5 linked regions of the Coturnix japonica genome follow. The protein of the gene in region 4 interacts with the protein of the main gene of each other region in a pairwise test. Links are inferred from orthologs where the notes say so. Each region holds a gene or a part of one and is shown on either strand. Other genes may lie near its edges.

Region 1 (6,423 bases), on a different chromosome or scaffold from region 4:
CTGCTCCTCCGAAGGCAGGGGCAAACCTGCTGCTTTGTCCCCCCTCAACTCCCAACTCCAGCAGTGAGCTCACTCCAGCTGGGCTGCCCTAAGCAGCTTATCCCCTCCGATTAGCAACGCCGCCTGTCACCAGGGCTGCAGATGGCCACGGGGAAAGCGGCTCTCGCCCACGGCTAATTAGAACAGCGTTCTCAAGGCGGCCAGACGATGAGGGGTCTGGCACGGCAGGGCAGCTCAGCCACGACCTCTCACGGGTGCCGCAGCACAAAGCGCCCACTCAGCACCATGGAGAGGGGACACCGCTTTCTCCTCCTCACCCACCGGCTGCCAGTGATGCTTTGGGTGATGGGCCACTCTCTGCCCTCAACCCCACACCACTGAGGGAGAGGCAGCAACGACTGGTTTTTCTTCCTCAGAAGCCAGGAAAGGGGCACAGCTTTTACTGTTATCTGTCTCTGCTTTACTGCCCAGAACTGGCATCCTTGATTCACAGCAAGCGTGCTGACACCCCTGCCTTGCTTTGCTCCTCTGCGCTGCCCTCACATCTGCTGAACTCTCCGCAGGAAAACACACAGCACGTCAACTAGATGGGCACCGATGCAGATTTTGTTGTTGTTTTGTTTTGTTTTCCAACGGAGAATGGCTTGGAAGAGCTTCCTTAGATGTAACCATATGTTCATGCAAATACTCAGAAAGTGCTGCATTGAAAATTGTCTGCAGTTCACAGGTCGAGGGAAGAAAAAGCTGCCTATCTCCTGAGTGTTTGAACATGGGATCTATAAGGTCACTGCACAGTTCTCAAGAACAGTAAAACACTGGATAAACCCACCCTGCGACTTGATAAAAAACAAACTCTGCCTACCTAGTCTTCATCATGGGAGAGTAAATCAGATTAATGCAGCTCTGCAGCATCTACTGTGTGTTCAGCCAAGCATAAGCAACACTGGTCCAGGCACAGCAGCAGGCCATCGTAATGCTGGTGCTGTAGAGGGAACGAAGCATCTGCTAATGTTTGGAGTGACAAAACTTGAAAGAAAAATGCTTGCCTTTAAAGATACAAATGGTATGTTCCTAAGGGGTAGAGCAAAGTTAACAGGGCTTTTGGTCATTGAAGAGTCAACACAGCATCAGGTCTTGTCAGAGAAATGCAATTCTCAAATAACAAATGCATACCTTGAAAGTGAACCTGCTTCAGAAAAACACACATCTTCCCAGCTCTTGTATTTTTCTTCAGCCAAGGCTGACAATCTTTCCTTCTTCTGACAAAACCTGCTGAACATTTATTTGTAAGGATTTCCCCCTGAAAGCCACAGCAGGGCAGGTTTAATGTGTATAAGATCTACATTTATAGCTTGCCACATTCCAGAGCTCACCACAAACCCACCTCTTCCCTTCCCTAGCCCTTTAACTCACTCACCTTCACTGCCAACACATCTCCATGCGGTACCTTCCACATGTTTGCTTAATGCTTACAACAGAGCCATTGAAGCCTTGTAGACCTTGCCCCCTAATAACCCTCCCAGAGCCTCAGGAATAGCAGTGTTTTCAAATGAAACATGGGTGACCAGTGTAATTTTTCTTTCTAACACAGAAGAACTGTGTTCATTTTATGTTTTTCTTAGAAAAGTGTAACACTTAAGTCCTATTAAGACAGGCAGCTGAAGGCAAAAGGACATTTCAAGGCACAGAACATATGTAATCAACATTTAGCAGCCATTAAGTATCCTGAAGAACATTTTACTTCCATAAAAGCATCAGTGAATGCTCCCTGGCCCAGTAGGAGCACTTGATACCAACCCCAACTGCACGTAAACCACCACAGCTAGCACAGGGAGTTATGGTCATAAATCTTAATTATAAAACACCATCAAAAACAGCCCTGAAGAAGTCCCAGATGTTTCCTGGAAACATATCAACAACAAAACGGGTTGAACTGTTGTTTTAGGGGCAGTCCTTAAGCTTGTTAAAGATAGCTTGCCCAGGAACATCCTGTGCATCTCCCTTACTTAGAATAGAGAGGATGCACAATACAAGACTTAGTAGAATGCAGAAGGTGCATCCACTTGCACATACATAGGAGGGATTCAAGGGGAGAGAGGAAAGCAGTGTGTTGAAATTACAAACAGCTTAAACAGCACTTAAACAGCTTAAACAGTGCTTAAAGTCACTTGAGATCTTCCGGACTCACTCCAAGAACCCCTCTGTCTAATCTTCAGGAAGGAAAAAGTCAAATCAGATCCTCTTCTGTTTGCTCAGTAGAAGGTCTTGTTTCATCAGAATAGACACGGGAGGAGTGTAAGGCTGGACTGGGGGAGGGAGGTGTCCATTCTGCTGCAGACAGGGGCCTCAATATGGTTGCTGAGCTGTCTTGCTTGAGTCAGGCCACAGTGGAGAGGCATCCTGCTGATCAATTGTCTCATAGGCGCTGCGGTCCCGGCCTGCACGGTTGAGACCTGAAGAAGAAGAGAACCAGCTTGATAAAAATAAAATAAAATGAGCACAAAAAAAACCACCCGGAATCTCTTAGAAGAAACCAAAAGTTGAGTGGCATGCCACGTTACCACAACAGGCTTGTTTTACACAGTGAGGATGCTGCCCAGTGGTGAAGAGGGCTTTTGTTTCAAAAGAAAGACAAGACAGAGGACCTGGAAAATCACAATTAAGTTCAAAAGAAAAATGCCAGTTAGTAGGAAAAGAGAAAAATTGTCAACCACGTTCAACAGAAAACAACAGCACATGGTTTGTACTGAGAATGTTGTGAGAAAGACATTTCAGGAGAGGATAAGAAAATACTACGTGAGTGAATTCCAGCTTGTGCCTGGGAAGAGATTCTGACATCATGCCTGTGCTGGAGTAGCATGGGGAGAAGGGAGAATACTCACCTATACTTTCTATAGGATACAGATATCAAATCTGAGTTACAAGTAGAGTAAGCAGCTAATAAAAACTGGCACAGACATGGCACACAGGCCTTCTGAGCCAGCTAAGAGAGACCTGCCAGCATCTGCCCAAGCAGCTGATGGAGAGAACATCCACATTCTTCTATTACAAGATGCAAACTATACTGTGAAGCCACCATTTTCCTCTGACAGCCTCTCCTTCTCTACAAGCATCCACCTCTTTTCACAAGAAGCCTCATCTTTTTTGCTAACACCAACGCAGTCTAAGTGGCAGCTTTTAAACACTGCAGTGCTAGTTATACCACCCTTTGTCCTACAGAGCCTCAGGAAAGAAAAAGACAACTGCACTAGGCTGCTGGTTTTGCCAAGATGAACTCCCACACAGCAAACACTCTCTGGCAGCTGCCCCAGTATGAACTAGCACCAGGAATATTTGGCAAAGAAGCTGACAGAATACCCAACTATAACACCTCTCTCTGGCAGGGCTGCCACATTATTCCTAGCAACTACAGCCAGGAGGAAAAACAAGTGCCTCCACACAAAGCAGCAGAAGGTAAACGTCAGTCCCATTTCCCAGGTAAGGAAACAGCAGTCCACAACAATTAAGATAGCTAGGACACAGAGTTAGAAACCCACCCTTTCCTCACATGCATAATTCCCAGGTAGAAGGGATTGATGCCTTTACTTCCCCACAGAAGGAAAAGGTTGACAAAGTGAGAAGGACACCCAAAGGCTTCTGAGAAGCGCACAGAATGCAGGAAGAGAGGAAAAACCTGAGTTAACTGAGTAAGAGTGACAGCAGTGGCATCAATACCATTGTAGGCAAAACGGCTGTCAGACGAGGACTCCAGGTCTGCAAGGGAAGAGAGGAAGAATATAAATTTAAGGCCTAAGACTCAGCAGGAGCACAAAAGTGAGAACAGACACGAGGAAGAGAGAGGTCATCCTCTTCTCCTTGGAAAGAGGGGCAGAATCCAGATGCACACGGTTGAGGCTGAAGGGTACAATTCTTCCCTAGCAGCCTTCTCTAACATCAGAGGATGTGGCCCACACTGATCTAGAGGAAGCAACCTACCTATGTTGAAGATGTATTCTCCTCCACGCTCCCGGTACATTCGATACACAAAGTAGCAGGATCCGGGTTTCAGGAGGAGGCTGAAGATGGCCATGCCCATACTGAAACGCTTCGCATCGATGAGATAAGCATGTAAAGGGTAGTAGACGGAGATGTGAATGATGTCTGTGAGGACTGTGAACAGCAGGCCGGACAGGAACTGGAAAGAGAGAACAGGACATGAATTGAATGAGGAATTAACTACCAGGAGTAACAGCCAGTTATAGGTTCTATCTACTAGAAGATCAGCATTCACACAGTTATGCTTTCACCTCTGTATAACACAAAACCTCTGTATGACCCCTGACACAGCCCCAAGGTAAACAGATTATCGTATGATCTCATACATCATGTATTTTCTTCACATCTGCTGGACGCTTTCTACTAGTATGTTCCAGGGTTGTTTATTTATGCTTGCCAATTTCTTTAATGATCAGAGAAGGGAATCTCTAAAGACATCTCTAACTCAAGCATATTAAATAGTCTGAATCCTCCTCTGGCATTGAAAGCGACAACAGCAGGCAGAAAATAAGAACCAAGTATGCCTTACCCCTGAGAAGCAAAATAATGGATAGTGAATGCTTCTCACCACAGTTTATAGTGCTTAAGTAGAAGCCAGGTTCCCTTGGGGAGACAAGAATAAATAAATGAAGAGTTTGACTTGTTCACTGTTGCACTGGGAGCAGCTGAAGATCATCACTATACTGATTCAAAGGAACCTTTCTGCCCTCCACCCTCTCCCTGAGCAGCCAGGTAAAGGCAAATGCCCTCACACTCACCATCACGATGGCATCAAGGGAATCTCGCTGCACAATGGCCCAGATCCCCACTGCAAGGACACTGAAATTCCCCCAAGCATAGGAGGCTGGAAACGAGTTATTCATGCATCCCCTGCCAAACAAGACAAAGAAAACCCAACCCAAGTTCACAAGGAGCCTGCAGCAGTGTTTGCATTTATCCCTGCTCCCATACAGGCACTTGGCCTTAGGATCTCCTTGCACACAGGTGTGAACAGGGAGTGCCGATTCCCCAAGAACATCCCATTCCTAGTTTGAAGGAAGCTCTTCTCAAGCCAGGCCAGTTACCAATCACTCACCACACTGTGAGCAGCCAGTGCACCAGAATGATGGCCTATGGAAAAAACAGAGAGGAAGACAGGTCAGCAAGTGGGAAAACTGTGGGAGAAATGATATAAAATTATACCACCTCATCTCCATGACAGAGAGTAGGAGGGTGCCCTGGAACCAGTGCAAAAAACTACCCTAGCAACAGGTCCAGCAAAGACAAAACCATTTTTTCTCTGCTTCTGTTGCTGAGTATTTCCTGTTGTGCTCCACTGTAGTCATTCATTGCTGTCATCATCACTGCTGACAGTGGATTCAGGGCATGCTTAAGCCTTTTCTAAATGTGTTATTGATTTTGGAACTCCAGAAGTCAAGCCAGACAACCTAATTCACACTAAACTAGCACAGCTCATATATGACCAATCTACTATCCCACCACCAAGAAGTCCATGAATTGTCATGACTGCAGCTCCCAGCATTTTCACTGTGAATTCCCCTTTACCCCCTTCCAACCTGCCTCGCTCCAATATTAACAGACCTGAAGTCATCTTCTAGGAACCTAAAGACCCAATCCTGCCATGCTACACCACTCTTTTCACTTCCAGGGACAACACTAGTGCCCAAATACTGTCACATTTATTGACTCAAAATGTCTACACCTGCTCTAACTTCACACAGAACTCGTGGCTTCAGGAAAGTTAATGACCCATGAAGCTGTGACGTGAGTGAAACCAGAAGGAGCGATGCAGCTGCAATGGCTTGGACTGTCCAGCCAAGATATCACAACATAGATATCTTATCATAAGGCAAAGCCCTGGTTGCACTGCAGCACCCTATCACATCTGCTGAGCATTCAGCACAGACCGCCTGAACATCAAACGCTGCTCAAACAGGTTTTTAATAATGACTATTTTTTTTAATTGCTCATGAAAGCCTACAAAATGCTCCAGCACCACCCGCTGCTTCCCCCTCCTCCCAGATTGCACCGCAGAGACCAGGCAGAAACTGCTAATCAGGAAAATACAAGATGTTCTTGGATAAGAACGGAGACATGCAAATAGCATTCACCCAAGAGACGATCACAACATCAGGGAAATTCTTAATTAGGTAGTATTTAATTGCACGTTATGCACTCACAAGACCCCTCAAGGCTCAGCAGTTAATATAATTACGCAGAGTGGGTTTTATTATATATATATATATATTAAGCTGTCTAGATCAATATTGCAGTTATTAAATTAAGAAGCTGGCTCCATCACCAGCATAACGTCAGGTAAGCAAGGGCTGGTAATCCAGGGGGCTGCTGGAAGAAAAACAAAGCATTTCCTTCCGAGCTATTAGTCTG
Region 2 (6,314 bases), on a different chromosome or scaffold from region 4:
CAAAGCAATCAAAATCTGGCACCCAAAGAACCACTTCCCCAGCGCTGCCTGACACCCGTGTGACAGATGCATTCTGAAATAGGAAACAGGAAGCCTCCAGGTTACGGTTCCTTCACCTACTTGAAAAATTCAGTTTTCTCCTCCTCAGATTTTAGCGTCAGAGTCTTCAGAAAGTTCACAACTTCCAGAAAATCGTTCCTAAGCAAAAAACAAACAACAACGTAGATTGAGATCACCAAGATTAGATGGTGCTAACGCAGCTCCTCAGCTGGAAGGCTGATTGTGCTTTCTTAATTGAAGGGCTCTTCAAGAAAGAGCCCTGTAACAAGCAGGGATCACGTCCCATCAGCGATGTAACATGCCTTCACTAAGTGAACTCACAACACAGGAACAAGCAATACCAGGAGGTGAGATGCTTCTTTCCTTACCTGAAGAATTCATGAGACAGTAAGCTGGACAGCGGGGGACGACACTTTGGATCTGGATTCAGCAGCGTACAGTGCAGGGTCTGCTGAAAGCTGGAGAGAATATCTGCTGAAACTGAAAGCCAGAGCACCTGCAATTAGATTTCTTTCTCACTGCTGCGGAAGCTTTGCTCAGGAGTCCACCACCCCTCCTGAAAACTTACTTTTAGAATCTGTTTGATTGCAACATGACTCATATTTGCTCCTAAAGGAAGAGATAATAGCATCTCTATCTTTCTCCCTGTGCTGCTGGTCACACCAAGGAGTGTTAGAGCCCCTGCTCAGCTGTGGAACGCAGCACTGTGGCCTTAAACACCCAGAGAAGTTTCTGGTGGGAGCAGAGCTGTGCAAATCTCTGCTACAAAACAGATTTGGGAGCACTTCTGTTGTCTGACCATGTTCAAATGCAGGTAAATGGGAACAAAGGAGATGCTGAGGTTTGGAATTTAACCTTGCAAACCCCAAGAACAGTGACGGCCACTAAACCTGCAGCACGTGTCAACTGCAACAAGAGCTGCATCGTTTGACACACACAAGGGATAAGCTGCACAGGTCCACATGTTGCAAATAAACATGGGCTCACCGTGATCATTTAGGGCTGTCAGGAGATTCTCCACCATGGCCCCAAAGGCGTACGCGTCCCTCGCATGCCCACAGCTGACGGGCAGAGCTTTGAAATCTGCAGACTGAAAACAAAAGACAAAAACCAAGATCAGCAAAGCAGGAGTTCACAGAAGTTGCCAGAGACCTCCACCCCTCCCCACACACACTCTCCAGTTCTTTCTATAGCTCCAAAGCTCCGCCCGGTACCCAATACACAGAGCGTCTTGCACACAAACACCTCCACCGAGGAACTTAAAACCCAAAGGAGCGACAGCATCACGGTGTAACAATTCCCCCCTGAACACATGCTGCAATTGCGAGTCAACAACCTTCAGCATAACCAGGGATAGGAAAATAAACCTCGGGTATTATCCAGCAGCCACTTCCTCCCATTCAGGCATAAGGAAACGAAGCGTGTGAGTGAAAGCTATTTTCTGAATACAGCACTGTCATGTGTCACCAGCAACAAGCTCCTGACGAAGGCAGGTCACTCACCATCTCCTCACATGGGATGCACGACTGGTCTCGCACTGATTTGACATGACAGAGGAACTGGAAAGGGAAGAGGGGAGATGTGAGCTGCCTGCGGGGCCCACCTGGGCCAAGCAGCAGGAGCGAGCTCTCCCCACAGGCCAGGACTAACATGTGCCCCTGCTCCTTCAGCTGCTACAGGTGTGAAGCACAGGCAACTTCAAGGCACCACAGCCAACCCATCCCTTTATGTCTTAGGTCCCATCGTCCACGATCCATCTGGGCAGGGATAGGATTCCATGACCCTCCAGCCAGCTGCCTCCCTTAGAGAAGTAGCTCATTTGGGGCTACTGGGAATTGGTTTCAGTTGACGTAGATGACAAGTATAGCTGTAGTGCTCCTGGAGCAATGGTTCAGCTGGGAGCTGGACATGAGCCTTCCCAGTGCTGACAGGCCAGGAGCCCCTTCCCAGGCACTGGAGGGGTGTGCTCTGCTGGGCTCTTACCTCTGGGGTAGCTTCATTAAAGTTACAGACTGTTTCCATTCCTCCCAGCTTCCAGTGCCCGTCCTCGCTTACGAACACAGACGATAAGCAGACGTTGTTATGCGTCAGGTTGCCCTAAAACATAAGAAAGGTGCAAAATCTTCATCGGAGCTAAGAGGGAACCGAAGAAAAGCTGCCAAGAAGCGCATAATGCTACATGGCCTCTGGGATGCTGCAGGTGAGCAGCACCAACTGTGACAGCCCCTACAGCGCAACTGTAAATGCAAAGACAACTACTAACTACAGACAAGCTCAGAAGCTCCAGTCTGAGCTGGAATTTATGTTCATGCATAGACAAACAATGCCAGAACAGGGGAGCAGTGACACCAACCTCTGACATGTGGCAACAGCTGTAAATAAACACGTGGCTTAGCATTTCTGCTCCAGCAGGTGAGTGTGTTTGCGAGGAATTAGAGTCATCCATACAAACCCAGTTACAACACTGCTGCCACAGTTCTTGCTCCCAGCAAAGCGTGGTGCTGCTGGTACCTACCCTGTCATGGAGGAAGGTGAGCGCCAGCAGCACGTCGTAGATCCCTGCGCAGATCTCTGCAGAAGAAAGTGTTTCCAGGACCGTCTCCAAAGGCTTCACCCGTTCAGTGACCAGGTGGATCCCATTAGCTTCCACAGTGCAAGAGAGGAAGCGCAGAAGACATGGGTGGCGCAGGGTTTTCAGGTGCTTCCAGAGACAGAAACATCTGTTACATCTCAGCCACTGCAGAGCTCAGCCAGGCTTTCTACTTGAATCGAGCCAGCCAAGCCTGCTGCTCACCGAGCTCTTAGCACATGGCTCATTGCAAAGCACGTTATGGCACACCTGGATGCTTACACAAAAGAATAAATACAGTGCTGTGAGTCTGCCTAAGAAAGACTCTGGTGCTGAGATATGCAGGAGGAGATCGGCACATTGAGAATGCCGGCAGGTGCTGTTATCTGAGCACTGAGCTTTGCAGCTGCCGACCCCCTTCTTCCCTGCTACATGGACAGGGACAGCCCCGACTGCTTCTTCCCTCACCCCGAAGGCTTTGACCCTCGTTAACAGCTTCCCACCTCTCTAAGGAGGCAGAGCTCTGACAGCTCTATCCCAGCACACACACTGCGGTACCTTGGCGGCTTTATTAACCATGTTCTCATTCTCCTGCTTGTACACGAAGACAGAAGTGCATTTGCCATCCTGCAGCACAGCCGGGTGAATGGTGTGTCCAGTCGGCAGCGTGAAGGGCGGCTCCTCCAGCGTGTAGCTCTTCAAAGCGCTGTTCTCTGAGCCCATCCCTCGCTGAGCTGGGCTGGAGACGTTCCCTCTTGGCGGCAAATGGGTCACAAGGAAGAGTTGTGCAGGTGGAGGCAGGCGCCGTCCTGTTCACTTTTAGAGCATCTTCTGCAAAGCACCAGACAGCCATGAAGAACCTCATCCCATCAGCTGCTCATCTCATCAACCAACAAGTCTATACTCAGCACGTTATGACCTGTATTAAATGTAAGCTATACCAACTGTTGGCCTGCTGGGCAGCAGCAGCACTCACACGCAGCAGGATGGGGCTCTTGCAGTGTTCTCTATGCAGGACGCTGCACCCACAGCCCCGTGCTCCCACCTCAGCTCCGCATCCCGCTGCCTGGCACAGCTCCGGGGCGGCACAGCTCCTGGCAGCAGGCAGAGCTCCCGCCGGGGGAAGGAGCCGCAGGGACACGTTCGCGATAGGAACCAGGAAGCGCTACGGCTCCTAACTGATGTAACAGGGCTTAACCTGCCGTGGTTACGGCCTTCCTCACAACCCGCGCGCTACGAGCGGGGCCTCTGCCCGGCGCCACCGGCCGGCAGCGCCCCAATACCCGGCCGGCAGCGCCCCAATACCCGGCCGGCAGCGCCGTGCCCGCACCCGGCACCCGATGGCGGCGGCTCCGTCCGCGCGGTGCCGCCCCGTCCCCCGTCCCGTCCCGTCCCGCACCTGCTCCATCCCGGCCGCTCGGAGCCGCCTCCCGCCCCGCAGCCGCTCGGTCCGGCCGCACTCTGCGCTTCCGGCAGCGCCGTGAGCTGACGAGGCGGGAGCGGCCGCCAGCGCCCCCTGCCGGCACGGAGGACCCGCCGGGCGGGCGGCCGCCATCTTGGGCGCGGGCAGGGCGGCCATTTGCGGTGCGGGCGGGGGATCGTGCTCTCCACACACCGCTCCCATCCCGCGCTGTTACTGCGGCTCCGCTCACACACCGCTGCTCAAAGGCTCCCAACCAGCTCCTGCCCTTTGGGCCAACCATATCTGTTCACTTCTGCCTTTCCTCACCCCGTGTTGCCCCCAAACCTCCTTGATTTCAAAGGGGACCTTAGGAGGACGCCCCCAATGGCAGTGGTGGCAGCTGTATCACTAGGGAACTGTTTGAACTGCAGAGCAGTGCCTGTATGTTGCATCTATAGGGCATCAGTCCCTGCTCTGTGCTTAGATCCAGCTTAAACCCCAGTGAATAAGCAGGTTATTAATGCATTCAACACTGACCACACGGGTTTTTGTATTTAATAGAAATTAAATTAGTAGCTTCATATACAGAACGTGACGCTTTCCAGTCCAGCAGCTTTTCAACACTTGCTTTTAAATCACAGAGCGAATCCTGTACAAAACATGGTATTAAAGAGCAACCAAAGACTAACACCAGCACTACAGCAGCGGACCCAGAAAGGTTGGGTTTATCTGGAGCTACACACACCGAAGGACACGTAAGGACAGACCCATGCACTACCAAGGGACACATCTACACCTGCCATGCACACTCTGGTCCCTGCAGGCAGGAGCAGCCCCGCATTCATCGTGCTCCATAGCTGTAGTAGTACGGCTCATCGGGGCGGTAACCATAGGCAGTCACTGGGCGGCCAGGAGCTCCTGGGGACTGACCGAAGCCATCGACTCCAATGCTGTAAAAAGAAGGGAGAGGAGCTGTAAGGAGCTGTAAGGAGCTGTAAGGAGCTGTAAGGAGCTGTAAGGAACTCCAAGGCTGTTGTACAGGGGGGAAGGTGCTGCAGCTCTTCCAGCCTGGAGGCAGCTCAATGTCTTCCCCCTCCCAGCCAGCGCCGTTCCATCCTCCTGCATGGTAAAGCAGAAAAGCTGCAGGGAAATCAACAGCTCTTTCCTCAGAAAAGCAGCACATCCAAATAATCCCTGAAATGGCACAATTCTGAGGCCCTGGGGCACAGACGAGAAAGTGACAATATATGGTGTAGCAATACAATACAGTTCAAAGGACAGTGCTGCTGGTGGGATACGAGACCCACAGCCAATGGCAGAAATGGCATCAAACATCAAGTGGCTGTTTTCTAATGGGACACAATGAACCATCTGTCACACAGAACAGTATCTTCCACACCTAAAAAAGCCACAGCACGAGAACTGTGTAGGGAAAAGTGGCTGTGTCACTTCTAAACTTCCACATCGGTAGGACAAATGGCAAAGGATTCTGATTTACTGCCTGACTAAAGATGCATTGAAGGGAGTTGAACTCCTGTCAAAACACAAAGAACCAAAGTGCTTTTGGAGTGGGTTAAAGCTGAACCTCATTACTGCCAGTTATACATATGGAACATGGGTTATGCGGCAGCCAAGGCCTGGGAAAGAATGACCCATCCAGGCGATGTACAATGGCCCCCAGGCCCTGACTCACCAAATAGCTGGCACTGCTCAACTGGTTGGGCTGGAAGGGCTCAGCTGCAGCACTGGGGGATCCCGTCCAAGCACTGTCCTTGCCAATGTATTTTCCTCATGGTGCCTTTGGGAGGGCATAGACCCATTCCCATATGGGATGCTCTGATCATGTGAGGGTGGAAGGCTGAGACTTGTCCTCTAAGGGATGGAGCAACCAAGAAGCCCAAATGCAGAGCAAACCATTCTGTCTCACCTGAACGCTTCTGGAGGAACTTAGTGCCCTGAAAGCACACTGCTATTTCCACGCCTGCCTGTCTGTATTTGAATTGGCAAAGCCTCTGTCTCAGCACTTGGATACGGAGCCATCGGTCTGACCCCACGTCTGAGCAGTCTCTTCTGCAGAGGAGGGAAGCAGAGCAGCAGTGCTGGCAGCACTAAGCACTGTGCACACGTGGCTGTGGGTCTGCACCCTCCTCTGTCCTCCCATCCCTTCCTCCAAAGCCCATTCTTCTATTCTCAGCCCATTCTGAAACAAGCTGCAAACACCGGAGGTGCCTTCCCCAGCTCCCTGCTTTGTGCCGGGCACACAACAAGACCCGAAGCTGTAGA
Region 3 (5,771 bases), on a different chromosome or scaffold from region 4:
GGCTGTCAGATCTTGCTTGGTGTGAAAATAACGAGGTTTACATTGTAGTTACTAATGTGATGTTGTTGAATTGCCTGTTGTTCACAGTACTATGTTGTGAGGGTTTGGTAATCTGCATCCTGTCTCACCTACAGCTGTGGAAGGGCCGTTCTGACCCAGTCCTGCACATCGAGCTCCGGCGGTGGGCTGACCTCATGGTGGTGGCCCCTCTTGATGCAAACACACTGGCAAAGCTGGCAAACGGTATCTGTGACAACCTGCTGGTGAGTAACTGCAACTCTGCCTTAGGGCAGTCCCTGCATTCTCTCCCCTCCCAGCACCAGTCTGACCTTTCTGTCAAGGAAACTCTTGTGCTTCAGCAGCGTCACGATTTGCATGTTCTGCTGCCACCTCAGCTGCTTGTCTTTCCCCTGCTAATATCGTTCCTCTGCTCCTTTTCCAACTTCCCTTCCCATACCTATATCCTTTTCCATTCCTGGGTGCTCTCTGTCTCTTCCATTATCTCCCGGTTCCTATTTTGTGCCTTTCCTGCTTTTTCTGTTGGGTGACATTTCTCTTTCTACCTCCATCCTCTCTCTATCACACATACACACACACATGCACACACTCACACTCACTTTTGAGTTCCTCTCTGCGTTTTTTAGATGCAATCTGGAAAGGCACCTGTGAGATCAGATAAAAACTGTTTACTTCCTGCTACCTCACCTCCTCCCTCACCTAACTGCATAGCACAAATTCAAACGTGTGCACACTTACTTACCTTACACTTTCAACTATGGGGTTTTTTGCTTGTTCAGGCATGTTTTGGGGATTTTTTTTTCTCTGATATTAGAAGTGCTCTGTGTCAGAGGCTGAACAGAAAGTGTTTGTAAGGAGAGCGTGTGTCTCGGTTCAGTGATGGGGAACTTCAGTGGAACTTAAGTCCTTTGTATCCATCCACTGAGCCTTCACCAGGAAAGGTCATGAGTATCAACTGCCCAAAAGATCTGCCAGAAAGCTGTAAAAATGCAAATACTGTGTTGCCCTTCAGTAATACAAGGAGGCTAGAATTGGGAATTGAGGGCAGTACATCAAGCCTGGCTGGGGAGCCCTGCTTGGTCAGCTTAGCTGTCCAAGTAAGAAAAGAGTACCTACAGATGAGAAAAGTGCATCCAGAGCTACAGCCCTGAATCGTACAAGCAGTCCTCTGGAGATATAGAGATGTAAGAAAGTGCTGTGATGGGGGCAAGCAGTGTCTTGTCCTTCTGAACCCCATCTGTAATGCAGCCAACAGAGTTCAGGAAGGGTGTTAAGGACACATGGCTTCACAAACTCCTGCCAGTCATCTTGGTTACCTTTGTGTAGGGAAGTACTGGAGGTGCTGGCTAGCAAGTTGGAACAGGTTCCTCTGTGCCAGGAAGGGTTCAAATCATGGGGCATAAAAAAGGATGGGCAGAATTCTCTGAAGTATTCTGAAATGAGCACGGCTCCAGCACCAGGGACTGGTGCAAGGTACCTGGGAGACTCCCTTTGCATGGCTGTCAGGTCTAGGTAACAGGCATTGCACTGTTTAACAGCAGTCACCATTGCTCTTTTTAAGGAGGTAAGGTGATATTAGCTTATCTGGAAGCTGTATTTATTGAGGAATTAGATATGATCCTCTGTAGCATGCAGGAGCTCCTAGGTGGTTTGTAATCTACCAGCATCTGCTGCAGCAGCTCAGCTGTGTTCCTGTTATCCTCTGTATGCTGGAAACAGGAGTGCTTCCCTTGTCAGCAGTTGTGGATCCAGTTGGCGTGTTGTTTAAGAAGATTCACTTGCCAGCTTTTTGTGTTTAGCACTACAGCTGGCTTATCTGAATTGCTGCCTGGGGATTTCTCTTTAGCTGATACAATCTGTGGCCACCCCTCAACTACTCTTGGTCTCCCACATGGGCTGCCTGCACACGTTGTGTTCCAGCTTGATTTTGTCCAGCGATTGGGCTGTTTGCTTGGCCCTGAGCTGGAGCAGGATGGAATCTATTCTTTTTGTAGCCTCTCTCATCCTTCTTGCCTGTCAGAGAGGAGGTTTGCTGGAATGCAGCCTGCATTAGTAGCAGCCCTGTGGATTTGCTTACGGGCTAGTCCAGCTGCAGTGATGGATGTTTTGGCTGTCTCGTGATACCTGGAGTGGGAAAATGCTTCTGTGCAGCAAAGCGAGCAAAGGGATGATGAAAAAGAACGTGCCTCAGAGCTGAACTCTTTGGCTTCTTTTCCAGACTTGTGTCATCCGTGCTTGGGACCTGCACAAACCCCTGCTGTTCTGCCCGGCTATGAACACGGCCATGTGGGAGCATCCCATCACAGCTCAGCAGGTGGAGCAGCTGAAAGGCTTTGGCTACACAGAGATCCCCTGTGTGGTGAAGAAACTAGTGTGTGGAGATGAAGGTCAGTCCTGTTGCATGTCTTCTGACTGTTTTCCTGCCCCAGTGCTCCTTTTACCCTGAAGGGAGGTGCCTTACTCTTCTGCTCTGTGACCTTCCAGATGTTAGACTGCAGTGAGCAGGTGCTCATGGCCAAGGTTTGTACAAACAACATGTCTGTGCTAGCTAACACCTATTACTCTTGTTCAAAACAAGCTGGTAGATAGGTCTGATACTTAAAAGAGATACTCTGAATCCTCAAAGAGATCAGATCAAAGAGAAGCAAGGCTCTGCGGTGAGCATTATCAGCCTGGGATTCTGGTGTCCCAGCCATGCCCTCTGCTGAGACTGTGGGCTGTTTCCATCATGCCTCAGTTCCTCATCTCTGACGTGGGGATAATATCTTATCCCTTAGAGCAGACATAGAGGATTAGCACTTTGCAGATGTGGCTGAGGGTGTAACTGAACATACATTTACCATTTGTTGTTGTTTGTTGCCTGGGTTACTTTTCAGCTCAATCGGCTTCACAGTCTCATTTTGATCTGGAGTTCTGACATCAGCCTTGTCTGTGAAGTGAGAGAAGGGGGTAGGAAGACTTGTCACGCTCAACTTTCAGACTTAGAGTGCCAAGTGAAAATGTCTCATTTGTATTCTAGGAACTGGTTTAAATGAGCATGTTTTGATTTTTGGGAGGTTTCAAGAAGGTTTTTTTCTATATCAGCATTTTGGATGAATGGATTCACTTCTTTAATTTAGTCTTTTGTGGACAGTTTGTCTGTAAAACATCACCCAATTCTAGCCATAATAGCAGTAGTTTTATTGCCTGCACAGTAATGCACTCGTTCTTTCATCTGATAACCCAACAACAGCAGGATCTTAACCACTCAGTCAGCTATCTCAATGAATGTCTGTCGTGGAGACTGGATGCTAACACGTTCTTCATGGTTAAATTCCAGGGCTGGCTTTCTTAGCGTCTGAATTCTTGGGTAGATGCAATGCTTTTAGAGAATGTTTTTCTGGAGATGATGACTTAGAAATATTTACAGTTTAGGTAAGTGTAGTCAAGTAATTCAGGCATCAGCTGTAACTGTACTGGACAATTATGTTTCCGCTGGGGTTTTAGACCTGATTACATCAAATTTCCTGTGTGCTTGTAATAATGTTAAGGGAAAACGCCCAAAAGAGGTCATTCTGTGCAGACATTTTGGCAGGAATGGAAAGGCCATCTGGCATAACTTCTTAGTCCCTTGGAGCTTTTCCTTTATCTCTTTTTGTACTTGTATAGGACCTCTAGTCCTATAGCACACTCTGAGTGATGAGCTTATTCACACAGGTCCACACACCTGAAGCAGAGCTGCGGTGTTGTCCCTCTTTGGCAGATAGGGATATGAGATGCAGAAGGGCCGTGTGTGTTGACTCAGTGATGCAGATGGCTTTGAGCTGGATGCTGAACATGCTTTCTGTGTTCTGCTGCTTTGCCCTGCTGTTCCCTGGTGTTTCTGCCCTCATGGTAGTGATCCAGGGCCACATGAGAAGCAGTGTGTCCATTGCTGCGGTTTGCAGCTCACAATGGCAAAGCCAAACCAGTACTGATCAGGAGTAACCTCATTATAACTACAGTCATTTGGGAGCTGCTTTGCATGTAGTTCAGATGTTCCTATAGTGAGAATGAACTCCCAAAGAAGCCTGTAGGAGAAGGATGGTATGGACAGCTGAGGCAGGAGTAGCCACATCTGACTCGGCTTTGCTTGTGCTTGTGAGTCAATTTGCATCAAGGTTTTCCTGCTGGCACATGCCAGGGTTTTCCCGGCAGCAGGTAGGAAACTTACGGCAGAGCAGTAAAGCACCCCAGGTCTCTGAAAACACAGGATAGTCTTCCCCAGTGACTTTTTTTCCCCACCTTCCTCTTGGTTTTTTTTTGATGTTTTTATTTTTCAGGCCTTTCCCCCCAAAACCTCTTTCTTCCACACTAATTTCTGGTTTGTGGGTTTTATCCACAAAAGGGTTTGCTTGGCTTCCAATGGCCAGATAGCAAAGCTCACATCTGGTGCCGAAGATTCAGTTTGCACCAGTTTTGTTTGCTGACATTGTGGTTTAACTTGCTGTTGAGTGAGGTTCATCTCCTACCACTCATGTAACTGAACACACCTGAAGTGGCTGCCATCATGTTTCTGTATTACAACCACGTTTCTTCCATACTAAGTGGGTGTTTGAACGGCTCATGGCTCTAGATAGGCATCTGCATGCAGAGTTATGGAGTGTTTGTAGAATACATGGCATGTAAAGGTGGATGGGAAAGTTAAGGGTGGGTGGGAAAGCTAAAAAAGGAAACTAGTGAATGGGAATCTGGATTGTTCACATCTGAGTCCATGCATCAGACGCTTCAGGTGTTTTTAGACATGGAGTCCAGCTAAAAAGAGTTAAAATATTCAATCTAGTTGCCAATTTAAATGTTTCCTTGATTGGATAGTTAAATGTAACCTAAGGGTTGCTGGCTTTGGTAGTATCCATCCATATAAGGAGAGCTCTGAGAGGTGCCATACCACATGCAGGCCTGCAGCAATTTATTGTTGCGAAACACTTCCAAACTGCTGGTATTTTCTTCATCCTTGGCTGAATTTCTGGATCCTGGCACAGTGGAAGAATTTTTCGCCATAGGCACAATGTGTGCTGTGAATTGCCAAAGATGTTGAGAAGGTGGGTTGTGTAGGATGAAGGCGGGTGTTGGAAGTGCTCTTGGAGGCTGTCGTTCTGCCAAACGTAAGGGTGCATTTGGGGAATTTCTTTTGTTTAGCAGAAGGCATCAAATGCAGCTCCTCTCAGAACAGGAGGCGAGAGCCACCCACATCTGCCTGCATCTTGTCTGTGGGGTGCTTCAAACCTTTTAGGTTTTATAAGCCTGAAAATGATGGAGTGGAGATCCTCACTCTCGGTTTTCTTGTCTTTCCAAAAGCATTGCACTTCATCCCAACTCCTCACTGTTGCATCCAGTTATACCTTCTGTCCCAGGCAAGGCTCAGGTGTCTCATCTGAAAGCTGAAGGTCCTGTCCGATTCAGTGCTGTGATCTGCCCACAGAGCACACCCTTCTGCTGTATAATATGGTGTTTTCTCTTCCATCTCATTCTTCAAGTTGTAACTGTCCTTTGGAACCTGCTGGTTTCACTATTAGTCTGTGCACACGCTAACCCAGCTGTGGAAGTGAATCAGAAGAAAAAGAAGAAAACGAAACCTCCCAGAACTAATTTTTAACAACAAATAGGGCTCGTGTTTTAAATAATTACAACAATTAGCCAGCAAAACAAAAGACCAGTAGAGATTACCATCTTTGGAATCTTCTAATGGAAACAGATGCTGGTGGGGAGGTATCAGGAGTGAGTGGACTGATTTC
Region 4 (5,454 bases):
GAGCCCCTGCTTGCTGAAAGTTGTGTGTCATTGACCAGACTGAACGCAGAAGCACTGCAGGTGAACCTGGGGGCGATTTTGGCACTGGGCTCAGAGAGCACCCAGGGAGGGTGTGGCATGGCCAGCTCCACTGTGACAGGCAGCGATGGCTGCACACTCCTAAAATAGCAGCTGGGAACATGAGAAGCGGAGCACTGCTGTAATGCTTGAGTGGGAGGGAGTCAATGTTTAACAGATCAGGGGAATTTTGGATGTGTTTAACTCCAAAAGGGAAGAACGACATCCCTGCCCTTGGCAGCCATGCATTTTCTGAAGGACTGCTCACAGGGCACTGTCTATGTGGCTCTTCACTGTTTGTCTCAAAGAAACAGTTGTGGCTTTCACATAACGCACCCTAGGGCATAGCCGAATGGGACATTGGCTCCGCTTTTCCTTAGAAGGAAGCGATAAAACAGCCGATTTATACTGTCTCTTAAACACACAATGTAAAGTCACTGTGTTTTTTCCTGTTCTGTGGGATGGCGAAGCATAAGAGTTGGCTATTGTTGGGTACGTGACGCTGTTCCCCTACTCTTCCTGCACATGCAGGAAAACGAGGATGGTCTTTACTAGAAGCGTTCAGGGGGCAGCAGGAACACTGAGGTGCACCAAAAAGGCAGGGCAGATTACAACAGGAGCGGGCCACAAGCAGCTTTGCCTTCTGCGGTCTGCAGCAGCACAAAAGCAAATGCCACTGCCTACTGCTCACAACGTACCGAATTACAGCCCGCTGACATCAGTGCAGGCAGCGCGCTGTGCAGGCTGTGTGCCAGGGCGTGAGCTCAGCCCTGCCGGGAAGGCACCCACCTGGGGGGCTGCGCCGCTCCCGATGGACGCAGGTGGGAACAGTGCTGTGGTTGCGGTGGGACACACAGGACTTGGATGGCTGCTTCTTTCACTCCTTAAAAGGCTGTAAATCATTGGCACAAAGGTGCAGAACAAACTCGCCTCATCGCCTAGAACAACCTATGGCAGGGAGGCAAAATGGAGCAGAGCCAAGGCAGAGTTAGGAGTGATTGAGGGAAACGGGGGTGGGAAGGAAAACAAGAAAGCAGCCCTTACGTGGCTGTTAAGCACATACAGTGCCCTCATGCATCTTAGCTATGCACACCAATGTGAAGTATTACAGTAAGAGGGAACTGGGAGTAGGGCACTGCCCAGGGAAACCAGGAGCACGTTGAAGTCACCAAGCGTGTGCAGGGAGGGAGAGCTGGGTAGGGCTGAAGGCTGTTGGTGATATGGGCACACAGCTGCCTCCCTCAGTCTAAAGGTTGGGGCAATTAAGAGTCAGAAATCCACCTTTGTCAAGGGTCACCCATGTGAGCAGACTGAATTATCTACACAAGAAGGAGGGCAGCTCTCAAACTGGAAAGGAAGTGAGGAAAGCATGGGGGGCAGTGAGCCACTGCCTCTGCACAAACAAGGAGTGTCCCTGCAGAGCCTGGGATCCAGCTGCACCTAATGTGGGACACAGGAGCAGCACTGGGAGCCCTGTGACAGCGATCCACTTGTTTGTTTTTCAGAACATTACCTTTTAGTAGAGATCAAGTCATAACCTGCACTCTCCCAACCCATCATTAGGAACCAGCCACTGTTCTGCTGATAGTGCCTCTCGCTACTCTGGACAGATAAGGGGCTCCCCCGGGGTTTCAGAGAATCAAGTTTCATTCTCCAGCTAGACAGATGTGACGATAAAGTTCTCTTTATTACAGACCTACAAAAGGAGATCCATAAAATACTTCTATTTTCTCTTATAAAATTATGACGGGAGCCTGTGGGTTTGCAGAGGATTTGTACCTGTCCTGGGGACATCCAAACAGCAGGATCAAGACAGTTTCAAGAGACAAGGCAGAGGCATTCTCAACTTTAAACAAACCCACCCAGAGCAGATAAGCCTCCGCATGTTGGAGCAGTTGCCCTCTGCACTGGACTGTCAGATGGTAGACAAAAGGAAAATATTCCTCCTCTTAGCTCAGCAGAAGTTCCACACGTCAGCAATTTGTTGATGAACACGGGCTCCTAATCCCAGCTGCATTCCTCATTTTGAGGATAAGCAGCTCTGCTCCTCAGCATCCTTTACAACTACTGCTGCTCAAGAGAAGGGGGGAACAGAAAGGAAGGGTTAGAACATTGTCCATCTCCTAAGACCCCCAAACAGAAGAAAACCCCAGGCTGTACGAGGCAGGCAGCCCACGTGCTCCTCAACTCAACAAGGAATGCACAAGATGAACATATTCAGAGGCAGAGGTACAGCCACCCTTTAACTTCAGGCTCCAATGAGTTTCTTGAGGAATGCTTCCAGCTGATCCTCGTCCTTTACCCCCACAAACTTATCCACAACATCTCCATTCTTCATCGCCAGCACTGTTGGCACTGCTGACACCTGGGGGCAAGAGAGACAGAAATCCATGTGAGCAGAGAGCTGCAAGAAGCCCAGCTGCACCCAGCCCCAAATGGAGCTCTACAGCTGTGCCCATCCAGAATCCCCTGCCTCAGACAGGGAGACAACTGCAGCCAACAAAGGACAGAAAGCTTTTCTCTTTGCTAAAGCCTTGCTTCTGAACTGCAGGGACTCGGCGTTCTGAAGCTGAGGGCATCTGGCTGTAAGCAGTGATGAGGGCTCTGCCTGCAGGTTGGGGAGTTGACCCCACACTGCTCAAAGCTGGCACATCTACAAAACGACAGCTTGACTGAGTTCCTTCTCTCTGTGGCCTCACCTCTGCATTGCCTTATACAGCAGTCTATGTTAAGTCTCAACAGCTTTTCTAGTTTAAATAAAACCTACAATTTAAAAGACAAGACCACACCTAATAACCTAATATAAAAGCAAAAGGTAAAGCTATTTTCCTCTCCAGTACAGGTTCTCCTTCTCTTTTACCCTATCATAAACAGACAAACCCAGACTTTTACCAGGCTGTCTCTCTGACATGATGACCTTTAGACTTTTATGGCCAGGGTGGTATCAGATAGGACCTGTATTCCTCTTCAGATAGCACAGGAGCTGAAGGAGGGCTCCCCACCCATTGGCAGGCAGGAGGAAGACTTTTGCCATCCTCTAATCCCCTGTGACCCATCTTTCTTCTTCTGCCCCTGCTGATCAGATAAGACAAATCCCTCCAACCAGAGCCCAGCTGCATTGCTCCAGGTGCTATTTTTCTCATCCAGAACAAATTTTGCTGGGAATTGCTGAAGAGAACAGCAGTGGAAATGATGACGCTCCCTGGGGACTTGCTGAGCGCATGGAGACAGAAGAGACCTCATAGATGTGATCACGAGAAGGAGCTGCTGGAGCTCAGAGACGCAGTCATGACAGCCTGCTCGCCCCTACCCAGCTCCAGCACAATGCCTCTCCTCTCCCCCCAACCACCTCCTGTCCTTATCTTGTCCCCTGTGCCAACCTATAGGGCCTTCTCTTGTGTGCTCCAGCTGTCCCAGCCCTGCTGCCAGCACGGATCTACCACACTCAGAAATCCTTCCTGCAGGAAACCCTCCAGAGGTCTGGCTTCTCTCCCAGCAGGAGGCTGAGATGAAAGGGACATTTTGTTCTTCCTTTCCCGCCTGGACCCGCAGTCTGTCCTCTGGGGTTTGTGCAGTTCCATCTGAGTGGATGGAAGCACCGAGGCTGCTACCACCCCACCAGCCTTGCTGCGACACAGGTTCTTCAGCTCCTCCTAGTGACAGCCTGAGGCAGAGCCAGGCTGCTCGCATGGCAAGCTGCTCGGGATCTTAGGGATGAGAAAGATACTGCAGTTGACTGGTCTCTTCCTCTCTCAGAAGGGCAAAGTTTCACCAAGCCTCCCTCTGGACTGCAAACTGGGTTTGTAACAAGCACCCCGAGGTTACAGGGCCTCGGTACAGTGAGGTGGGTGAGAGCAAGGAACCCTGTGGAACCCTGCAGCTGCTCAGAAGTGCTTTGACAGCATCCTTCCTGCTGTACTTGCTTTTGCTGCATGGGTTCATACTTCTTTTTTTGCTGCTGAGAATGACTGAAAAGCAAGCTTTATTTTTTCCTTCTTTTTTTGGGCTTGGTTTGCACTGAATAAACTAAATAAACTCTCTTCTTCCTTCAAAGCATTTCTGAAGAAAAAGTCAGGCTGCTTTTGATCAGCACCGGCCAAACAGATAAATGTAAGCAGACATACAGGCTATTCGTGGCAGCACTCATGCTGAGGGAATTCTTTCCCATCTAAAACTGAAAGCACCAAGAGCTGGGCAGGGAAAAGCCTTCACCCGGCCTTAGGAACAAAGCATAGCAGGAACGAGCTCTGCCAACAACCAATGTCCCCACGTCCATCATTCTACAGGGCAGCTCACATGCCCACATGCAGAGCAGCAGAAGCAAGGGCTGCTCCTTCCCAACAGGCACCAGGCCAAGGCAAAAAAGGAATCTAAGGAATTTCAAGAGAAAGCAAATTAAACAAAAATACTCCTCCCTTCCTGCTCTCAAGAGGACGAGAGCAGGCTGGAGGAGCAGCAAAAGGCCACAACTGGCAAGGAGAGGAGCAAGCCAATAGGGGGAACCCTCAGAGAAAGAACCTGCGTGCTGCACTACCTGAATGGAGGAGGGTGACTGCGGCATCTCTGGTCTCAGGAAATGCTCTTGTGTGTCATGCTAGATGGGGCTGCTGGGAGCTAATGGCACTCTCCAGCTCCTCCTGGGGGCTCTATCTTCCCCCTCTGCACCAAGGAAGCCAGTGGAAAGTACATTGCGCAATCAGGCAGCAACCTGCGGCGTACGCATGTGGGCAGGGGAATGGACACAGGTGGATGAGGCTTCCTTGCAGTTAGTGGGGAACTGTGAGGATGGCAACAGACCCTGAAACCCTCAAACATAAACCTGAGCCTGTAGACATCCAATCTCAGATGGAAAGACTCAATGAATAAGTAAGTAAATAAAAAATGTTCTTTGGCTCTCCTGATGTCTCCCCTCTGATCTTGCCTCAGCATCTCCCCGTCAGCTCTCATGCCCACATCTCCTTAGCTGGCAACTTCACAGAAGACTGAACAAGACCAAGCATGAGCATGGCGCACAACCCAAACTTCTGCTATGAAAAGGGTGCCTCAAAACATGAGAATCAAACCAAACTTTATCCTTTACCCATTTGCAGCTGTCCTACTCACCAACACTACCAGGGAAGGGATTCAGCTGCGTGCAGAATGGTCAGGACCAGATACATGCATCACTGCAAGAGCAGAAGATGCAGAGATGATCCAGGGGTCCTCTTGCTAAACAAAACTTTACTGTGTCTGTATGTTAGGCTCCAAAAAGAAGCCAGCCCTTGCTGCCTACACATACGCCCATCAGAGCTGGAAGACAGACAGACCCTGCAATAAATAGCTGTATGCCTGCAGCTTCTCACACACATCCAGTAGCAGTGCATGCAATGAGTAATCACACTTGCAGAACAAAGGAAC
Region 5 (5,771 bases), on a different chromosome or scaffold from region 4:
AAAGGAGGCTATCTACCACAGGTAGAAGCATAACTTAAGACACAAAAATATCACTTAAAAGACAGCATGCTTCTGCACACTGGCTATTTGAATTGGGAGGGTCAGGGGCCTGGAGCACGACATAGAAGGCTGGAAAAGTTTCTTGTCAGCAACTATTCTTGTCTTGGAAAGAATAAGGGGGACTGAGAAGGCAGCAAGGAGTCCATAAAGGGTAAAATGATACTAAAGCTCAGAGAGCTACATGGAAACAAATGCCAAATTCATCCCAGGAACATCAGTCATGGAACTACATTCTCACCTACCTGTGGGGTGGTGACTTTTTGGAAGGACATCTTTCTGAAAGTGCTCAAAGACAGAGGAAGTTGTGGATGCTCAGCTATTTATCCCCACTTAAGGATCAAGGGATCAGCACTGGAGGAGTTGGAAGCCAGGTACAAAGAGCGTGCTTGTACAGCAGTGTGCATGCAGTTAGAATTTCAGTTTTATCTGTGAACATTTAATAACCAACATTTTTCAATTCAACAAATAACATTCAGGAAGTATTTGTATTTGACAATCATCTTTGCAAATACTTATTCAAATTATCTTCGTTTACTCTTTAGCAGTGCTCAAATCATCTTCATCTTGCTGAAATACTAAACTGTTATTCAATTAACCAGTTCTTCAACAATGTACTCTTTGGAAGCTTCTTAAGAAAAACTGGGAAAGAAAACTCCCAGACTCCATTTTTCTGTAGTTACAATGATAGAACCTCAAGAAAATGATAAATGCAAGCAGCTTTGATAGCTTGACCCACAGTCAAATGCCCTTTACGCTAAATAGCACATAAAGCATAACGAATACTTTTGGCTCAAGTCAGTGAAATATTCAAGAGTGTACTTGAATCACTTTCATGAGTATGGCTTTTCTATCAAATCTGACTTAATACTCTCAAATATGCTAGTAGTTTTCGAAATAGTTCTTTCGCTTTCTTTCAATTTACTGCTTTACTTCAATGCATTCTGGTCACTGGAAGTGCCTTCAGAATAGCATAGTTACAATTTGATTCACTATCAATTAACCAGGTCAAGCCACAAAAACCTGACTCTCATCACTGCATTTTCCATGTTTGTGGAGCTTAGTTTAGCACGAGATATTTATTTCTGGAATACAAGAAAACAGGATTCTACATGAACAATCGTCAGTATACAATTTCAAAACTGCTGGATTCTTTTATAACTGCATGTTCACACTTCTTAAAAACAGAAAGCACGACATCAACAGAGCAACAATGCAAAAGGAAAGGGAAAAAAAAAAAGGAAAAAAGGATGTCACTGTCCCCAGGAACCATGTCTAGTCACGTTTCAGTCAGTCAGTCAGTCGAGGGTCATGTCACTATTTAGTTCTGCAGAAAAAAACACAAGTACAAAAAAAGTATCAAAAAGCAACATACCTATTGGCTTTACAACAGCGTAAGTGATAAGGGCTCTTAACACATTCAGAAGAATAACATTAAGCATCACACATTTGTCCTTTTGTTGTTGTTTTTTTTCCTTAAGAAAAAGTCTCATTCTGAACATTGCATGAAAGTCAGCAATTTTTCTACAGTACACAGCTGATAAATAGTACTTGAAAAATTATTAATTTGGTGTATCTCTCAACTTTCATATAATTCCTATTTTAAAATATTTTTGCACAGCAGCAAATCATCATGCGAACATTAAATTTGAAGGGTTTTTTTGAGAAAGATTTAAGAAATAAAAACAAATTCAAGTCAATTCAGGGATTCGTGATAAGAGGCATCTTCTGAATTCTTAATTTTTGTTTATTAACATTTTCTGCAACAGTAAGAAGGCTGCCAAGTACTCCTTTCACTTATCTCAGTAACCTTCACCAATAACCAAACCCTTACTGAATTTGCAAACCTGCAGAATCGTTGTTACGCTTTTTATGTTAGCAGCATTAGGAAAATTAGAGGGTAAGATGACAATTTAGTTTCAGTAATTAAAAAAAACTACCCTAAGAAAAAACAGGAGAGTAGAGCTATTAATTTGATACCCCACCCACTATTAATACAGTGGACAGAGTAGCTTCTGCAGCCAGTGAAAGTCCACTGTTTTGGAGTAATAACCAAAGCTTTCCACCCTGTACTCACTTTTTGTCTGTGACATCTATGACAGACTCTCATCCATTCTTTGTATTGCAGTACAGTATAAAACACCAAGTTCATTGACATTTTAAAGCAGAAAGCACCATTACGCATTCAGTTTCAGATTTTAAACACCCCAAACCACAAAAATAAATAGTGTTAGACTGGAATCAAGACACAATCCTCCTTGATTTTTCCCCATATAGTCATCTGACAGACAGTCCCCATTAAAAAGAGCCAGGTCTTTATTTCTACTTTGTGAAAACAGAATCACAGAGTCGTAAGGGTTGGAAGGGACCTCCAAAGATCATCAAGTCCAACCCCCCTGCCAAAGCAGGCTCCCTACATCAGGTGAATACATCTGGCATCAGCTTCCTGCCACAGGATCCTATATATTCCCACCAAAAAAAAAAAAAAAAGTAATTAAAAAACACACTTCTTCTCTTTGCTTACTTGAGCATATTCATAGATTAAGACTGATCCATGTCTTCAGACTCAATCCTTCTAAACTGAGATTTTAGACTATAAATAATTATTTGGTCTGTCTTCTTATCATTCAGTCAGATAACCTTTACAACACAAACAGCAATACTTTCTCAAAACACGAACATTCCCTCCTCCTACATCCAGAAATTTCTCACTAAACCCAAGAATTCTCAACTCTTAACTTCTTTGCATAGTAAGCAGTTAACCCGAAAACACTAAAATCACTTTCACACACTACTTTACAGAAAGCAAATCTTACAAGTAACAGACAGTATCTATCATCTTCACTCAGGAAACAACTGCAGCCTGCAATTATTATTATTATTATTATTTTTTAGAGGAATTAACATTTTCTGAGGTTTACTACTAATTTTGGATGTTTATCATAACTATTCTTCTATTCTATAAAGTAGTTTTCCTCCAGTCAAAACAGAATTGATACGACATTGCACTTCAAATCATAGCTTCCCCTGTAGTGACAGAAAGGTTTGGTCCTTTATTACTAGAAGTTTAAAGAAAAAAAAAATAATAATCACATTTAAGAAAGAAGAACTTAGTGAATAAAGATAAAAACATGGGTATGAGTTACATTCACTGGACCTGCCAATTTTTAAGCTTCAAAAGAGTTTTAGCTCCAATTCCATGCAGACATATTTAGTTTTTGTTTTGTTTCTTTTTAAGTTGTACATGAAGAGTATTAAGACCTTTAGAAACCGACGCTTATCAAAAGAGAAACATGGGACTCCCTAGGAAAAGAGGGAGAACCATACAGGTGAAATCTTTTTCTGGCCTTTCTAACTCCCAGGTCACAGAACACACCTACACATTGCAGTGACAAGGTGTGACACTAAGTAAAACACCAATGTGAAGACAGTTAGGATTTCAAGTGATGTTTTTAGAATGAGAAAGGGAAGGAAGAAAAAGAAACAACTGGATTTCTTTTGTTTTCTCCCCAACAGTAGAAAACCAGCTACTGAAATGATTCAGAACCATACCCATAATGGGTATTAAAGTAATATTTACATTTGAATCAAACCAACATTTCCTAAGAACAAGTGAGCTTTGGTTGCAAACCTCCATATATGAGCTCTGACACTGTTTATTGGCCATATAATTAACTAAAATATTTAAACTTCATATTTTAAATATACACCTCCACCACCACACATTCCAGCTGCATCTGATATTTGAGAGTCCAGATTACCCAAATTACTGAAGCCTTGCCTTTTTGGTCTTGCTTTGTGACATTTACACCCCTTCCTTCATCTGTCCTTTCCAGGGACAAACTCTGCATCTTTATCAAACATCATGCTCAAGGCACGTGTATGTAATGAAAGGAAGACACACGCAAGCTGGTCTCAGTTACAACGTTTATTTTTCCAATACTCTTTCAGTCAGACCTGATACTTTTATGTACATTAAGTGAATGTTTCAATGAACATCCAGACTGTTAATCATTTCATATTTGTAGAAACATTAAAAAAATAAAGATTTCTTTGCTAAAATAAAAGTGCATGTATAAGCATATACACACCCATACATTATACACACACACAAACCATATAACCCCACCCCCCAATTAAGTTAAATTTATTTTTAGCTATCAACAAAATTTCAAAACTCTTTGCTTCCAACTATTTCAAATAGCTGAACTTCAGCTTAAGCAACCACTCCAACTGGGTACTCACCTACTTAGTAGGTTCTCTGACGTTTGTTAGATTCCTCTGTGGGGGAGTCTGCCAACCTTACTTTAAGTCTGACACCATTCACAATCTTGCCGTGTAACGCAGTTATGGCTTCACTGGCACTTGCTCTGTCGGCAAATTTTGCATAGGCCACATTTTTCCCAGCCACAAGGTAAACTTTTATTAAATTTCCAAAACGGCTGAAAAAAATAACAGCAACAAAGGAGAGAGTTGACAGGTTTTGCTGCAGCACTGACACTTATCATCTAATCCCAGCTCAACAAAATTCAGTAGCTGCAAATTCTATGTTTTCGCACATACACCTTAATATCTTGTGTTATCCTCCTTGAAAAGTCCTAGTTTTCATTCCCTATTCTAGAATTCTGCACAAGAATAGAAATAAGCCCAGGGGTCTGTAAGGAAATGTCTTCTACAGAATACTGCAATAGAAGCACAAGTATTACATATTCCTTTAGGATCACTAAAGCTATTCCATGAAATAGTCACACACAGTAAATACTAAACGAGTAAAAAACACCCCCCCCCCCCACCACCAAAAGAAAAACACCAGACAATTGCAAAGGCATTTGAGGCAATTCATTCACATCGCATTTAAATGAACTTGTTCAGCTGTGATTCATCTTCAAAAAGGTTGTGCTGAAATGACTCACAAAGCAAAAGCTAAAGCCTCACAGAAAATCTAAATCCTCAGGAGATTCCTAGACAGTACCTTAACAAGTTTGAAGTCTATTTCATTCATATTCAAGTTATGTAAGTACCAAGACTAGAAAATCCAGTACATAAAATAAAGTACACCTTAGAATTCTAACAGAAGTGCATATTGTTTCATTCCTACTATTTTTAATTGTTGTGGTTTTTTGTTGTTGTTCGGTTTTTTTTTTGTTGTTGTTGTTTTAATTTCCAGCATTTATTTTCATTATTCCACAGTTCAGGAAAACACTTATCAATATAAGAAGCCTTACCAGAAAACATCCTCCAATACAGTCACAGGTAAGGGATGAGGATGAAAAAGTACAAAAAGCCTTTCCTTCACAGAAGTGTCAGGTGGAACTTTTTTTTTGGGTGGTGGAAGTATAGCATCGGTTTGGGGCTGAAGTAACGGTGAGCCAGAGGTTCCTCCAAATGCCTGCTGAAACAGGAGAAGTAACTCAACTATAAGTCAATTTTTATGAGAAAAATAGTATCATTTCATCTAATTCAGATGAGACAGGCTTATTCAGACACAGCCTCTAACAGTTAACTTGAATTTTAATTACTTAGTTTACTTCACCTACTTCATTAGACGGAATAACACATTCCAATAAGGTAGACATTCAAAGAGAATGAGAAAGAGAACCAAAAAACAACCCACCCACACCAACCAGTTATTTCTCAAAGACGTAGCACCTAAAGCTATTACAAAAGAAAGCAGGCTGTGCTCTTTACTGACACATCTGGAGTTTCTTAATTCA

The links.
Region 1: the proteins of TXN2 (region 4) and AGTRAP interact in binary tests that used the Homo sapiens proteins (3 or more experiments, as listed by UniProt). The two-hybrid records come from large-scale screens. The link is inferred for Coturnix japonica from reciprocal best matches to the Homo sapiens genes TXN2 and AGTRAP.
Region 2: the proteins of TXN2 (region 4) and SCYL3 interact in binary tests that used the Homo sapiens proteins (3 or more experiments, as listed by UniProt). The two-hybrid records come from large-scale screens. The link is inferred for Coturnix japonica from reciprocal best matches to the Homo sapiens genes TXN2 and SCYL3.
Region 3: the proteins of TXN2 (region 4) and PPCDC interact in binary tests that used the Homo sapiens proteins (3 or more experiments, as listed by UniProt). The two-hybrid records come from large-scale screens. The link is inferred for Coturnix japonica from reciprocal best matches to the Homo sapiens genes TXN2 and PPCDC.
Region 5: the proteins of TXN2 (region 4) and RBM45 interact in binary tests that used the Homo sapiens proteins (3 or more experiments, as listed by UniProt). The two-hybrid records come from large-scale screens. The link is inferred for Coturnix japonica from reciprocal best matches to the Homo sapiens genes TXN2 and RBM45.

What each region holds. Positions count from the first base shown.
Region 1 is NC_029536.1:4,898,413-4,904,835, forward strand, and holds the end of AGTRAP (type-1 angiotensin II receptor-associated protein), read right to left. Parts: intron 5,146-6,423; coding exon 5,111-5,145; intron 4,906-5,110; coding exon 4,794-4,905; intron 4,175-4,793; coding exon 3,976-4,174; intron 3,754-3,975; coding exon 3,715-3,753; intron 2,454-3,714; coding exon 2,347-2,453; 3' UTR 1,717-2,346; downstream 1-1,716. UniProt on the Homo sapiens protein: Appears to be a negative regulator of type-1 angiotensin II receptor-mediated signaling by regulating receptor internalization as well as mechanism of receptor desensitization such as phosphorylation.
Region 2 is NC_029523.1:6,562,450-6,568,763, forward strand, and holds the start of SCYL3 (protein-associating with the carboxyl-terminal domain of ezrin), read right to left. Parts: upstream 4,137-6,314; 5' UTR 4,029-4,136; intron 3,461-4,028; 5' UTR 3,353-3,460; coding exon 3,188-3,352; intron 2,762-3,187; coding exon 2,576-2,761; intron 2,158-2,575; coding exon 2,044-2,157; intron 1,620-2,043; coding exon 1,563-1,619; intron 1,151-1,562; coding exon 1,048-1,150; intron 541-1,047; coding exon 429-540; intron 199-428; coding exon 121-198; intron 1-120. Other genes in the region: KIFAP3 (kinesin-associated protein 3), read right to left, coding at 4,873-4,981. UniProt on the Homo sapiens protein: May play a role in regulating cell adhesion/migration complexes in migrating cells.
Region 3 is NC_029525.1:1,692,408-1,698,178, reverse strand, and holds part of PPCDC (phosphopantothenoylcysteine decarboxylase), read left to right. Parts: intron 1-134; coding exon 135-263; intron 264-2,236; coding exon 2,237-2,405; intron 2,406-5,771. UniProt on the Homo sapiens protein: Catalyzes the decarboxylation of the cysteine moiety of 4-phosphopantothenoylcysteine to form 4'-phosphopantotheine and this reaction forms part of the biosynthesis of coenzyme A.
Region 4 is NC_029516.1:47,243,593-47,249,046, reverse strand, and holds the end of TXN2 (thioredoxin, mitochondrial), read right to left. Parts: intron 2,423-5,454; coding exon 2,306-2,422; 3' UTR 1,726-2,305; downstream 1-1,725.
Region 5 is NC_029522.1:13,805,709-13,811,479, forward strand, and holds part of RBM45 (RNA-binding protein 45), read right to left. Parts: intron 5,450-5,771; coding exon 5,283-5,449; intron 4,500-5,282; coding exon 4,307-4,499; 3' UTR 4,303-4,306; intron 1,385-4,302; 3' UTR 1-1,384. UniProt on the Homo sapiens protein: RNA-binding protein with binding specificity for poly(C). May play an important role in neural development.